Linked DNA regions of Diceros bicornis minor. The protein of the gene in region 1 interacts with the protein of each later gene in a pairwise test. Links are inferred from orthologs where the notes say so. Each region holds a gene or a part of one and is shown on either strand. Other genes may lie near its edges.

Region 1 (7,158 bases):
TGGGGTGGAGGTGGGTTGGGGATCAACTTCATTACTGCTCACATTTCTAAATGAGCACGTACTGCTTCTGTCATTCAAAGACCACTTTGACAACGGCCCCTAAAGGGCTCGTTGGCAGCCCACACAAACGTGGGGACCGCCCCTCCTACTCCCTCACCCAGTGCAGGCTGTTCTTTGCCGGCGGGCGGGCGGCGAGGCGCCTACCTGGTCCCGCTCGATGGCGACCTCCTCCATCTGCTGCAGGATGGCCTCGATGCGGTCCTTGTACATCTTGGAGTCCTTCCGCAGGGCCTGGCACTGCAGCTCGAACATCTCCTTCTCCTCCATGCACTGCGGGAGACGGCAGCTAGCTAGCCCCACCGCCCGTGGCCCCTGTTCTGGCCCCCGGTCAGGCCCGGCTGGGACGAGGGGGAGGCTGCCTGAGCCCCTAGGTCCCTGCCAGCCCTGAGCTTCCAGACCAAGGCTGGCCCTGACTGCCCTGGGGGAGTGAGGGCAGGAGTGGGTGAGAAGGCCGGCCCTACGCCTCCAGAACGGGGTGCAGTAGGGACTGAGCTGAGAGCTGAGAGCCCCCCGGTTCCAGGCACTGCGTGGGCACAGGGCAGTCCCTCAGCCCACGCAGCCAGCCTGGCCCCAGGCGCGGTGTCCACCTGCCCCCGCTGCGTACCCGGGTGCGCAGGGCCTCGGCCTGGCGCAGGTCCTTGCGCAGGGAGAAGATGGTGCTGGCCTGCTCCTGGTGGTCCTGCAGCGCCTGCCTCCAGTCCTCCTCCAGCACCTGGATGTAGGGGCTGCTCTTCTCTGGCTTCCCAGCCTGCGGGTGGCGAAGGGGAGAGGGCAGCAGGGCAGCGACCTTGCTGGGGGAGGCCCACGGCCCACCTGCCCCGGCGCCCGCCCCGCAGGCCCCACCTGGACGGAGGCCTCCAGCTCCTGCACCCGGGCCTGCAGCAGGGCCTTCTCCTGCTGCAGCTCCCACAGCAGCTCCTGGCTGGGCCGCTGCTCCATGGCGTGCCTGAGCTTCAGCGTGTGCTTGCGCTCCACCTTGCAGTCGTCCTCCGCCTTCATGAGGCTGTGCCGGAGCCGGTCGATCTGCGGGACAACCCCGTCAGCGCGGCGGCCTCACCCACTGCCTGGCCCTCGACGCCTGCCAGGCCCTCTCTGCAGGACGGAGGCTCGGGGCCACGCGACTCGCCCAGGACACCGCCACGGGCCCACCCCCGCGCCCCGTGGACCGGAGGGCACCTCCAGCTGCAGGTCGCGGTTGCGCATGAGCGCGGCGCCCTTCTCCTCGCTCTGGCGGGCCAGGCGCAGGGCCAGGTCGTAGTTCTCCTCCTTGCAGCGCTTGAGCTCCCGGCCGCCGGCCTCACACTCCTCCTTGAGACGCTGCACGCGCTCCTGGTGCTTGCGCAGCAGGCTGTCCTTCACCCGCAGCTCCTTGATGAAGTCGTCCTTGGAGCTCAGCAGCGCCGTCAGGTCCTGCACCTTCTTCTGCAGCTTCATCACCTCGCTCATCAGCAGCTGCGTCAGGCCCGACTCCCCGGACGCGTCTGTAGACGGGGCCAGCGTCAGACTGTCGCCTGTCCCCCACGGCCACCCTGCCCCACCGCCTCCCAGGGCCCTGCACTGGAGGAGCAGCAACGCGTGGCTCCAGGGAATGCGGAGCCCGGCCAAGGGGTCAAGTCCAAGTGGCTGCTGCTTCTCGTCGAGGAAATGGACTGAGATGCTCACTCACCTCCCCGGCCCCTGTCCCGATGCCCGTCCAGGACAGGGGACAGCCAGGGCCAGGCACCTGTCTCCCTTTGTCTGATCTTATCATCTTGATTGAGAGGCAAGAGGACGCGAGTCCGGGGCCAGGAGAGCATTGCTTCGCCATTCCTGGGAGTGGCAGGCCCCGCCCTCTCAGGGGCAGTGTCTGTGGCCCAGGGCAGGGACAGGGGCTTTGCAGGTGGGATGGTTTTCTGGGCAGGAGGGGCTCCGATCTGTGAGTCAGCCTGTGCACCTGCACACGCCTCCGACCTGCTGCTCCCCGAGAGGTCTGGTCCCCCTTTTCTTGGGCCGCTGCTCCCTCCGCGAGTGTTCGGAGAGGAGAGCGGGACGGGAGCGATGACCAGCCCCGCTCCCACGCCGGCACCCTGCCCACGAGCAGCTCACTCACTTTCCTTGATCCCAATTTACCCGGTCGGGAGACCCGATGGGGAGGTGCCTGCTGCCCTGTCCCCATGCCACTGCCCTCCCAACATGTCTGGCTCTGCCCCATGCCGACCCCACCCCTCCATCCTGGCCCTGTGCCCCCCACGTCCCCCACCCCCATGCCCGGTGTCCCGTTCCTCACCGATGATCATGGAGAAGACACGGGTGGGCTCCTTGCCCGTGACCTTCTTGTAGAGCTGGGGGTAGTAGAGCTCCAGGCTCTCGAGGAAGGCCACGTAGCCCTTGTGGCCGGTCCGCTGCAGGATGTCCAGGAGCACGCCTGCCACCCAGAGAGGCCTGGCTGGCGCCCGGGCCTCAGCGTCCCGGGACGTGCATGGGTGCTCTGGGCCGGGGGACAAGGCTGTGCGGCCCCCGCCAGGTCTGGCCGCAGCCAAATGGGTCTGGGACGTGGACAGCCGCTGCAGGCCGGGGTCCAAGTGCCACCCGCCACCCCTTGGCTCTCCCAGAGGCCTCAGCAGTGCATGGAAGCACCACGGCCCCCGGCAAACAGGACGGGTGCAGGGGTGCCGGGGGTTTCGTCCACGTGCTTGCAGTTGGGGTTGGGGTGCACTCCGTGGGGCTGCATGGGGCTCGGCCTCCTGGGGACAAGGGTAGGGGACAAAGCCCACAGCGGCCTCTGGGCAGGCTCCTAGCCAGCTCGGGGGCGGGGCAGCACTGACCCACTTTGCGCTTGCGGATGACCAGGTTGGGGTCGCTGAGCACCTGCTCCTCATCGTCGGGGTTCAGGACCTTGCACTGCCTCAGGTAGGGCGTGATGCGCGAGGGGTCGATGACGGAGATGAGCTTCACCCGGAAGCCCTCCAGGGCGCTCCAGCACTCCTCCTCGTTCTCATAGTCCGACATGGCAGGGTCGGCCAGAGTCGGGGAGGGCGGCTGGGAGGGACACCACTCGCTGAGCTGTCAGCTGAGCTAGGCCCCAGGCCCGCCACCGAGGAGCCCAGCCAGGAACTCAGCCCAGGGGTGTTCGGGAGAGAGGTGTGCTGCCTCAGGCCCTGCCCTCCCATCTCGGCGACCTAGAGAGGGAAGCAGCAGCTGCGCAGGGACCCTGCTGCCCATCTGCTCACTGGGTGGCCCTCGGCCTCACCTGGGCCCTGCTCCCGCCCCCTGGGCCACCCTGGGCTTTCTCTCTCCCGAGTCACCCTGGTGAGTACGGGGGAAGGTGTGGAGATGCTCCAGGGGCAGGAACATCCCCTGCACCATGGCTCTCCTCTGGCCTCTGCCCGCCCCGGGAGACCCCCAAGTGTCGTGGGGCTGGCAGGGATGGCCACCTCCCACCTGTGGGGCAGGAGGAGCCATTTGTGCTGCTGCCACCCGCTGGCACGACCTCCCTGGCCGGCCAGTGCCCAGGCTGGGGCGAGAGGCACGAGGCAAGTGACCTCCCACCTGCGCAATGCTGGACCATGCTGTCTGGGGCTTCCTCATTTCCCAACTTAGCGTCTGCTCAGGTCCCCGCCCCAGCCCCTCCTCTCTTTCCGTGGCCGGCTGGTGGTGCAACAGCCTCCCAGCAGCTGCCTGGAGCTGGCCTGCTCCGAGTCAGGCTCAGCGACACTGTGCCTTTCGGGAAGGGTGACTGACCGCCCACAGGAGGGCCAGGGCCTGGGCACTAGGGGAAGGCCTGGCTGTGTCGCCCACGGCCAGCCTGGAATGCTGCTTGGGCGCCTCCTCCGGGCTCTCAGGTCCTGGGACCCAGCCGTCTCTGGCTCCTCTCCCACCTCTCAGATGAGGCCTGCTCTTGGTCACACTCTGGGGGACTGGCACGCTGGCCTTCTGACGAGGGGACCACCTACATTGGGACCAGCCACTGCTGCTGCCTTCCACCAGCAGGCGAGAAATCACTCTCTCCGGGGCTGGGCCAAGCCAGGTGGTCGTGCCTCCTCTGGGTGGTGGGGACGGAGACCCTGACTCGGCCACCTCAGACAGAGCCTTCAGCTGTGTTGGAAACTCTGGTTTCTAGCCCACAGGAGCTAGACCACATCCTAGAGATGTGGGTGACAGAAGGCCTGGTCTCTGGAGGAGGTCCTCCCACTTCCCACAGAGCTTGGCCTTCCCATCCAGCCCAGCAACAGACAAGGTGTGGAATAAAGATACCAGCAACCCGGTGGACGGTCCTGGGAACTTTCGGCCCATTCCCGCCTTTCTAGCCTAAAAGCCACGGGTCCCACGTCTGATGCCCCGCTGTTAATTCCACTGAGATGAACAAGCAGGTCTCAGTGGCCGTGAAGAGGGACAGGGCAGAAGAGTTGAGGCCACTGGGTACCCTTCTGGGCTATTTGCTCCAGGACCCGGCTCCCTGCCCCAGCAGCCCTGAGCAGAGAGCCACGGCACCTTCCCAATCACCTTTCAGAAAGGGCCCCAGACCAGCCTACCTCAGGGTCCTCGAGGGGGCACCCACACAGCTGGACGCTGGTCAGCCTGGGCCACCCCGATCAATGAGCAACAGGAGGTGCTGCTGGCGGCCAGGGGCCTGAGGGAGGGTGGAGCCCAGCGGGACGCCTGTGCACTTCCTGATGGTTCTGGGCAACTCCACAGAGGCCCAGCCGGTCCTCCCGCAGGGGGACAGTCCCTGGTGGCTGCCTTCTGATTCGCCCAGCCAGGGCGGCCCAGGAGGCGGGGCAGAGGGAAGTGGAAGTCGTCTGCTCTCAGAGGAAAGCTGCTGGGAGCCCTCCCAGCCTGCCTGGCGGCCAAGGTCCCGGGCCTGCCCTGGGGGCCCAGCCCCGGCACCCTGCACAGTGGAAGTGCGGGCGAAGGCCCACCCAGGGGCTGGGTGTGGCTGATCCACCATCCAGTCTGCTTTGGCCCAGACGCCTAAGGACTGCAGTGTGGTGTCCAAAAAGGGCATGGGGCTGGGGAGGCCCCTGCCACCTGCAAGAGGCCACAGGCCCCGGCCACATTTGCCTCACTTGGCCGCCAGCCCACTGCAGCTAGCACATCCTCCTCCCTTCCTGGGAGCATCCCCACTCTGCAGCCCTCTCCACTAGGACACGTGGGACAGTGACAGCAGGCTCCCGGGACTCCGAGGCCACTGCCTGCAGTCCCACAAGCCGGTGTCAGAATGGCAGTTGACTGCAGGACAAGGCTCCGGCCCATGGTCATGGCAGCAGTCCTCCGTGGACTACGTGGCCTCTCCCAGCCCCTGCCTCGCCGGTGTAGCCGTAGCAGTTGAGCCGAGTTGCCACCTGCCCTGCTGGATGAGGCAACAGCTCCGGGAAGGAGCTGCAGCTGGACGGGCGGGCAGGGCCTGCCCGTGCCCTGGCTCCGCCTTCCGAGGCAGCTGCCTCTCGCCTAACCGGCTCCCTTCCTGTCGGGCTCGGTCCTCAGTCCCTGGGCTTTCCTCTGCCCCTGGCCCACAGCGGTCACCTGGTCGGCCGAAACCTCAGGAGTCCTGGCACAACCAGGCAGGGTAAGTCGTGGAGGCGGCCTGGCCTTCCTGCAGGCTCCGAGAAGACAGAGGCCCAATGTCACCCTCTAGCAGGGAGCAGTCCGGAGGACCCTGGGGGAACGCGTTCTGGGGGCTCATGCCCCGGGCTAGGCGAGCAGGGAGGGGCCCGGGCTGCAGCTCTGCTCTCACGTGATGGATCGGCCACTGCTGGGCCCTCGACGACCCAACACTTCCCCGCTCGGTAAACAAGGCCGATCAAGGTGTCTTCCTCATGGCGTGTGTTTAAGAATTAAATAAAAACGTGTGTTCTCAGATTACATCAGAATTAAGCTAGAAATCAGTAACAGAGGGCCAGCCCCGTGGCTTAGCGGTTAAGTGCGCGCGCTCTGCTGCTGGCAGCCCGGGGTTCGGATCCCGGGCGCGCACCGAGGCACCACTTCTCCGGCCATGCTGAGGCCGTGTCCCACATACAGCAACTAGAAGGATGTGCAACTATGACGTACAACTATCTACTGGGGCTTTGGGGGAAATAAAAATAAATAAATAAAAATTATAAAAAAAAAAAATCAAATCAGGGGCCGGCCCGGTGGCGCAAGCGGTTAAGTGCGCGCGCTCCGCTGCGGCGGCCCGGGGTTCGCTGGTTCGGATCCCGGGCGCGCACCGACGCACTGCTTGGTAAGCCATGCTGTGGCGGCGTCCCATATAAAGTGGAGGAAGATAGGCACAGATGTTAGCCCAGGGCCGTCTTCCTCAGCAAAAAAAGAGGAGGATTGGCGGATGTTAGCACAGGGCTGATCTCCTCACAAAAAAAAAAAAAAAAAAAAAAAAAAATCAAATCAGTAACAGAAAGATATCTGGAAGATCCCTTGATATTTGGACGTTAAATAACAAACATCTCAGTAACCCGTTACCAGCAAGGTCACCACAGTGGACGGGTGTCAGCAGAGCTTCCCGACTAGATAGACTAGGAAGAAGGACCTGGCCACCCACGTAGAAACATCGGAAAGCCTGTGCATAGCAGCGGAGCATTGTCTGACGTGGCAGAAGGGGAGGAGATGGCGCAGAAAGACAGGGCAGGCTTCCCTCTGCTGTCCACGGGGTCTAGGAGCCGGAATCCACTCCACGGCACTGACAAAATAACCCATCAGTCAGATGAAGTCACAAGGAAAACTAGAAATTAGTTAACCAAGTACTGGGCACAAAGCAAAAACCAAGACCATGCACACAGGAGACTGAGTCAGCCCGTGGCAGGCGTGACCTGTGACGTCTGGGTGGGGAGAGGGGACGGGCGGCCCCGGTGACTGCTGTTGAGGCCAGGCCAGGACATGTGCTGGGCACACTTGCTCTATTTCTGTATGTTGGGAACTTTCCATAATAAGTGAAACCAAGTGGAGCAGGAAGCAAGGAGAACGAAGCCCCGGGAGCCGAGTGCCTCGATGGCTGTAACGGAAACTTGAGGCCTAGTCCTTGAGGTGGGAGCGCCGAGGGTGCTGGACTTGGTCTCAAGCCAAAGGAACGCCGTGCAGAGGCAGGCGGTGCTGGCCTGGAGCCGCCCAGCAGGGCCACTGCTACGA
Region 2 (7,037 bases), on another chromosome or scaffold:
ATAGATATATGTCATTATATATTTGTCCAAACCCACAGAATGTACACCACCAAGAGTGATTCTTAATGTAATCTATGGACTTTGGGTGATTATGATGTGTTAATGTAGGTTCATTAATTGTAACAAATGTATCACTCTGGTGGGGGATGTTGATAATAGGGGAGGCTATGCATGTATGGGGGTAGGGAGTATATGGGAAATCTCTGTACCTTCCCTTCGATTTTGCTGTGAACCTAAAACTGCTCTAAAAAAATAAAGTTGTAACAAAAAAAAGAATAAGAATGTGAGGTGGGGGGGAGGGTTTTTGTATCAGATTGCAAGGCTTATTTAAATTCACAGGAATTAAAACAATATGTCATTGACTCGGGGTACATAGAGACCAATGGAACAAAGTAGAGACCAGAGAAACAACCTATATGAGAACTTGCTATATTACAGAAGTGACATTAAAAAGCAATGGAGGGCCGGCCTGGTGGCTTAGCGGTTAAGTGCGCACGCTCCGCTGCTGGCGGCCCGGGTTCGGATCCCGGGTGCGCAGCGACACACCGCTTCTCTGGCCATGCTGAGGCCGCGTCCCACATACAGCAACTAGAAGGATGTGCAGCTACGACATACAACTATCTACTGGGGCTTTGGGGGGAAAATAAAGAAATAAATAAAATCTTAAAAAAAAAAAAAGCAATGGAGAATGGATAGGCTAGTCAAACAATGGAGTAGTAGGAACAACTGGCTAACTCTAAGATAATAAGGTAAAATTAGATCTCTAACTGACACCATACACACAAAAAATTCCAGATAGATTAAAGGCTGAAGTGTGAAAAACCTATCTTAAACATTTACATCCCTACTGGACTGTAAGCTCCTTAACTTAGTCTGTCTTGCACAATTGTGTATTCAATCCTACTTAGTATATACAAACATTCAGACGATAGAAAACTGAATGTCTATGATCTCAGTGTAGGGAAGGACTTCTTAAACAGTATACAAAACAGCACACACCATAAAAGATAAAATTGATAAATGTGATAACACTAAACTAAAAATGCCTGTGTAACAGAAGACTCCATAACTAAAGTTAAAAAACAAGCCAAAAAACCTGGGGAAATAGATATTACAGATTTAGGATGTATAAAAACGAAACAAAGGGGCCGGCCCGGTGGCGCAAGCGGTTAAGTGCGCGCGCTCCGCTGCGGCGGCCCGGGGTTCGCTGGTTCGGATCCCGGGCGCGCACCGACGCACTGCTTGGTAAGCCATGCTGTGGCGGCGTCCCATATAAAGTGGAGGAAGATAGGCACAGATGTTAGCCCAGGGCCGTCTTCCTCAGCAAAAAAAAAGAGGAGAATTGGCGGATGTTAGCTCAGGGCTGATCTCCTCACAAAAAAAAAAAAAAAAAAAAAAAAAAAAAAACGAAACAAATAGAAAACAGGTAAATGACAGAAACAGGTAATTCATAGAAGAGAAAACCCAGAGAGTGGATAAACGCACGAACAAGATGCCTAGTCCCACTAGAAATCAGGGAAATGTAAATTAAAATAATGAGATATCGTTACACACTCATTAGACTGGGCAAAAATTAAAAAATCTGATATAACCAAGGGTGTGGATAAACACATGGAGAAATAAAAACTCCTAATGCTCTTACAATCCACTGTGGAGAGCAACTGGCAACAAATTGAAGATGAACTTCTAGGAGTCTACCCTAGAGAAATTCTTATACAAGTGCACTAAAGAGACACATTTAAGAATGACAATTGCAGCATGTTTGTAATAGGAGAAAAAACAACACAACTGTCCCTCAGTAGGGAATAAACTGTGGTTTAATTATACAATGGAATTTATAAGCAATTAAACTGAATGAACTGGATCCATATGTATCCAAAGGATACTTCTCAAACGCCATGCTGAGTTAAAAGAAAAAAAAAAGGCAAGCTGCACAAGGATGGGTTCAGTATATTCAAAAAACACAAAAGTAAGAACTGTTATTATTTTCCAAAACCCTTAATGAAAAAATCCTGACTCTTTATTCTGACTCCTCAAACAGAAACGGTGTTCCTTCTTCCATCTGCACTCATTGGAATCCTATCTGTCCTTTAAGGATCAACTTAAATGCCACCTTTCTTTCAAGCTTTCCTTGATTACCCCAATCTGAAGAGATTATTCCTCCTCTGCCCTCCCACAGTATTTGGTTTATATCACCTAGTGACAGGTATTACAGGTGTGAAAGACTGTACACTGTTTAGAATGTGCCTCTTTTTGCATGTCTCACATCTATTAGAATACGAGTTCCTTAAGGTTAGGGGGACTGTCCTACACAACTTTGTATTCAATTTAATAAATACAGTCACTGCCTTGGCTGACAGGGATAAAAAGTTTAATAAGACATAGTTCCTGCCTCAAGGAGGTTATGAGCTTATGATGTACGAGAGACAGATACATAAATAATTATAACGATGAGTTATAAAAGCAGCATAAACAGACTGCTATGGATAAAAAAAAAGAGGGACTGTATCCCGCACAAATCCCTGCAAACAACAGGCATTCACTATATATGTTAGTCTAACGAATTGGTGGAGGCCAAGGGAAGATAGGTGCTTGCTGTAGGTGAGGGCAGACAGGCTATAGGAACAAGATGAGATGGAAGTGGGTTTTCTTTACCCTAGGCAACGTGATCGGGTGCGAGTGTGACGGGGAAAGTCGAAGAAATAGGGGGCAGGGTCTTAAGGGTCGGTGGGGTTGGGGTGGTCGGCCCGGGGTAGGTTTGGAGTACGCTGAGGAAGGAAGAGGCAAGACCCGACTGGAAAACGGCTCAGCACAGTACCTTTCTCATTGCGAACCGGGACGGCCCCAGCCGTAGACTGAATGGGCGGTTGTTTCATGAGTGCGCTTGGGACCGACATGTTGACGACAGCAGCGGTGACTCCCGAAACTTTACTGATTCCAAACAGCGAACAGCTTCAACGTCAACGAACAGAAAACACCTCCCAGCCTAGAGCCGCTAGACACGGCTGCGGGACTGATAGAAACGCCACTTACGGCTGGGCTAGAAAAACCGGAAATATGCGACCAGAGGATTGTGGGATTGTGGAGGACCTCTGGGCGACTACCGCTAGAACACCGAGTCTGTTACTGCGCATGTTCATAGGCTGCCCTAGCGTCCTCAGTCTGGAAGTACATATTTGGACGTCGGTTGTGGCGGGAAATTGCTTCGGTTGGGCTTTGCGGTTAAGACCCTGCGGCGAGGAAGGTCCGAATGAAAGGTTTCGCTTGTTAGCTTGGTTTGAAGCCGAGGAAAATGGGATAGTGATGAATAAGACACTGAGGAGATAGTGAAGGGCAGTTTGTCCAGACTGTAGAAAGCTCAGAATTAGAGTTTAATCGGAATAGAAATCCTGCTAATAGTGTCTGATTAATTTAGCTGATGAGGCTGAGTGGGTTTTGGTGCGGTACTTTTTGGTCACGCGAGGGCAGGTCGCGGTGATTTAGGCCAGTGGCAAAAAAGAAAGAAAGAAAGAAAGAAAGAAAAAAAATCCCCCAGGGGGCCTGAGTCAACGCCTGAAATCCGAACATTCTACTTTTAGGCTTTCTGGTTCTTTCCGCTTCTGGAGACCACCTTTTAAAATATATTCCTGGCTGGGAAGTGTTTGTATATAAGTCTTTGAGTAATTATTAAGTACTTGCTGTGTTAACTGTGCTTAGCTCTCTGTAAGCAGTAACGAATATTGTTAAAAGGCTCGTATCCTCAAGAAGCTTTAATTTAATTTAGGAAGTCTTCAAGGGCTTATAGAATCATAATAGAAGCAATCGCAATTACTAGCTCGGTTATATAAAAAAAATTGGCTAATTAGAAGTCAGAACACATTTCACTGTAGAAGGGATTTTAAAACTGCTATGGTTGGGAGGGAAGGGACAGCATGAGCAAAGTCTTGAAGTCCAGAAATAGCGTATATATCAGACACCATGAAAAGTGTGATTTTATCAGTAATTTTTGAGTCAAGGAGTGGTGAAAGTTTGGCAGGTACCAGATCAAGTAGGGCCTTGAAGGTGCTGTTAATAGGATTAGTTCTCAAATTATTTCACTTGTGTTCTCAACTTGAGCCTAGGCTGGCAGAAGAAATAAAAGGAACAGTGGAGGACTCAGATAACCAACCAAGGGAGCAGTTTTGGGCTAGAAAGAAAAGGACCTTAAAAATAAAGTAGATAGAAATTTATATTATGAATTTATCAGCTCCAAAACTATGCTGTCCAGAGGGAGTGTGATGGGAAGGCAATTGTTTTGGCTCACAGCAACCCAGAGAATAGAAAAAAAAATTTAATATCGCTGCGACTATAAGAAATACAGTGCACTAAAATCTTATGTTACTTTGTGATACAAAAATTATTTGATTCACAACTTTTCCCTAGCCTTTGGGCTTTGTAAGGTCCTCATTAGGATCTTAGTTAACTGGTGGACAGATGATCAGGTGAAATTTAAACTAGCTTAAGTTATCAGCTCTTGAAAAAAAACTAAAAAAAACTTCCCTTCCTAGGAATAAGATAATGTGGTAGCCATGGGGCCTAATTTCCTGGTGGTGGTATAAGGAACCAGGGGGCCGAGGTAAGGGCTGCATGTTGATTGCGATTTCCTTTGCTCTCTATCCGGCATCTAAGTGCGTCTGAATCTTTTCCAGCCTCACGTTGTAAGGCAAGGTGGCTTATCCTCAGCAGAAGCGCCAGTGTTTTTCAAAGTGAGATACTGGCGTCAGCAACATCAAAATCACCGGCATCCAAGGTAAAAATGTCGATTCGGTCCCATCGCGTCCCTCAAGAATTTGAGTTGGGGGTGAGGCTGGTAGGCTTGGCTCCTTAAGGGACGACGGTAACGCCCGTGTCGCCCCTCCCCCCCGGCCAGCTGGGATCTGAGCGCCCGCCGGCGCCGCCCGGGCTCCGCCCCTCCCACTCCCTCCCACCCCCGCCTCCCGCCGCAATCTTGGCGGGAAGACGCCAGCTGTTAAGCGGCGGAAAGATGTCCGGGTCGCGCGCGGTGGCTGAGAAGGCTGGCTCCAGACAGCGACTCCAGGTGAAGGTGAGAAAGGGCTTGTCGCTTTCGGGTGTGCTCCTGACTCAGTCTTCGAGAGGGATCTTCCGGGCACAGGCCCGGGAGGGCACCAGGACTTGGCACCCGGCACCTCCTCACTCCAAAACGATTTCCCGCCGCTTGGGGCATCCCTCAGCTTAAAGAGTTTTTCGGGGTGTTGCTTCAAAAGATAAGCGGGGATCCCTGCCCTGGTTTCCTCTGTGAGAGTAGGCTGCGGCATTGAGGAAGGTTCTTGTCAGTAACCCCAGAAATAGTGGCAGGATGGGATCAGGGACTCTGCATTTGCTTTTGCAGCAGTTAGTGTCAGCTTCCTACTCTTGAAACAATTCCATTTACTCAGAAGCTGACAGTTGGGGTAGAGTCACCTTAGATACAAATTGTAGTCATTATTATTATTGGTCTGGCAGACTCATATGGGCAAGAAATGTGCCCAGTATAATAAATAATTCTATTCAGGTTAATGAATTAAGTATCTAGGTTTTGGAGGAAAAAAGTTTCCTTACAGGCTATCAGTTTGGATTTATGTTGTTATTATGAAATAGGAATGAGATTTATTTACACAGATCTGTAAGAAAAGACATAGGATCTGGGATTCTAACACTCTCCATTTTCCTTTATTGACCTGAACAGGTGAATGAATATAAAGAAAACCAAAACATTGATTTTGTATCTCCAAGGCCAGTACAGACTACAGTTTTAGGAAAAACAGCTAAGGTGTGTCTTGTCCCCTTTTCACTCAGTAATTACAAACCAGACCAACTTAAGTGCCCCAAATCCCTCTTAGATAAGAATTCTAACAATGAAGTGGCGTGTAAGAAATGTAAGAAGATTGAAATAAAGAAAACTTGCAGAAGAATTTTAACTCCAAAGATGGAAGCCACATCTTCCAAGGCAGAATCCACTCTGCAAAAATCATCCTTAGATGTTCATACTGAAAGTAACAAGCAAGGACACAAGAGCACTTCAGATACAGTGATTCTCAGTGTTGATATGGAAAGCAGTCAGGATGGAGACAGTGATGAAGATACCACACCAGGCCTGGTAAGAATTTAAATACCAGCTTATTCAAATTTTTCTTAGTTTAAAATTTGAAGTTCTGGTAAGTGAAGGTTATCAGAGGTCTCTCTAGCTCAAGCAGATTGTTTTATCTAATTTATGTTTAATTGAAAAATTTTTTAAATGTTTAACAGATAACTTTGTTGAGTTAATTTTGCTCTTGGTTTTGATTTGTCAAGGAAAGGATTAACTTAATTTTCACTCTGCTTCCCTTTTTCTTCCTCTTGGTTTATTGCATATATTTTTGAGTTTACGCATACTTTATGGTATCTTGCTTACCTTTACGTATTTATGCACAATATACCAGAAGTTGGCCTGTGGGACATATGGCATTTGAGTGACCCTTGATGTCAGGGTAGGAAAATCATCATTAATTGATTGCATTGATGTGCTGAATAATATTTCCATTAAATACAAAAAGGAGACAAATGATGGAGTAGAGAAGATACACGAGAAACACTTATTAGTTCTGTTTAAAATAATAGAATCAGTTTAGGGAATTAGGCATCTAACTCCTTTGGCTTCGATTGCCTACCAGGAGTGTTGTACTTCATTTAAAGTGACAAATTTTATGCAAGACAAGATAAAACCCTACCACATGACAAAAAGGTTGATGGAACTAGGGGAACAGAAAATGATGGTAGGGAAAGGGAGATAGGATAATTGAGGTGGTGGTATTATGAAATAGGAATTCAGTTTATGCTTTATTGTCCCAGAGGTAAGGATTAGCACCTGTGGTGGCACAGTGTGTGGTAAGTCATAAATGCATTGGAAGCCTAGGTTTTAGGCATGGCCACTTCTAAGAAACCTTGTGCCTTTAAGCTAGTCACCTCTACGGTGAGGGAATTGGATAAGATCAGTGGTTCTCAAACTTTAGCTTGTATTAGAATTACCTGGAGGGCTTGTT

The links. The genes of interacting proteins can lie anywhere in the genome.
Region 2: the proteins of CARD9 (region 1) and MFAP1 interact in binary tests that used the Homo sapiens proteins (3 or more experiments, as listed by UniProt). The two-hybrid records come from large-scale screens. The link is inferred for Diceros bicornis minor from reciprocal best matches to the Homo sapiens genes CARD9 and MFAP1.

The regions. Positions count from the first base shown.
Region 1 is NC_080767.1:42,451,583-42,458,740, reverse strand, and holds the start of CARD9 (caspase recruitment domain-containing protein 9), read right to left. Parts: upstream 2,919-7,158; coding exon 2,327-2,918; intron 2,223-2,326; exon of another isoform or gene 1,857-2,222; coding exon of another isoform or gene 1,727-1,856; intron 1,542-1,726; coding exon 1,237-1,541; intron 1,084-1,236; coding exon 904-1,083; intron 809-903; coding exon 665-808; intron 331-664; coding exon 205-330; intron 1-204. UniProt on the Homo sapiens protein: Adapter protein that plays a key role in innate immune response against fungi by forming signaling complexes downstream of C-type lectin receptors.
Region 2 is NC_080744.1:41,112,226-41,119,262, forward strand, and holds the start of MFAP1 (microfibrillar-associated protein 1), read right to left. Parts: upstream 3,018-7,037; 5' UTR 2,898-3,017; coding exon 2,819-2,897; intron 1-2,818. Other genes in the region: WDR76 (WD repeat-containing protein 76), read left to right, coding at 5,003-5,062, 5,705-6,115. UniProt on the Homo sapiens protein: Involved in pre-mRNA splicing as a component of the spliceosome.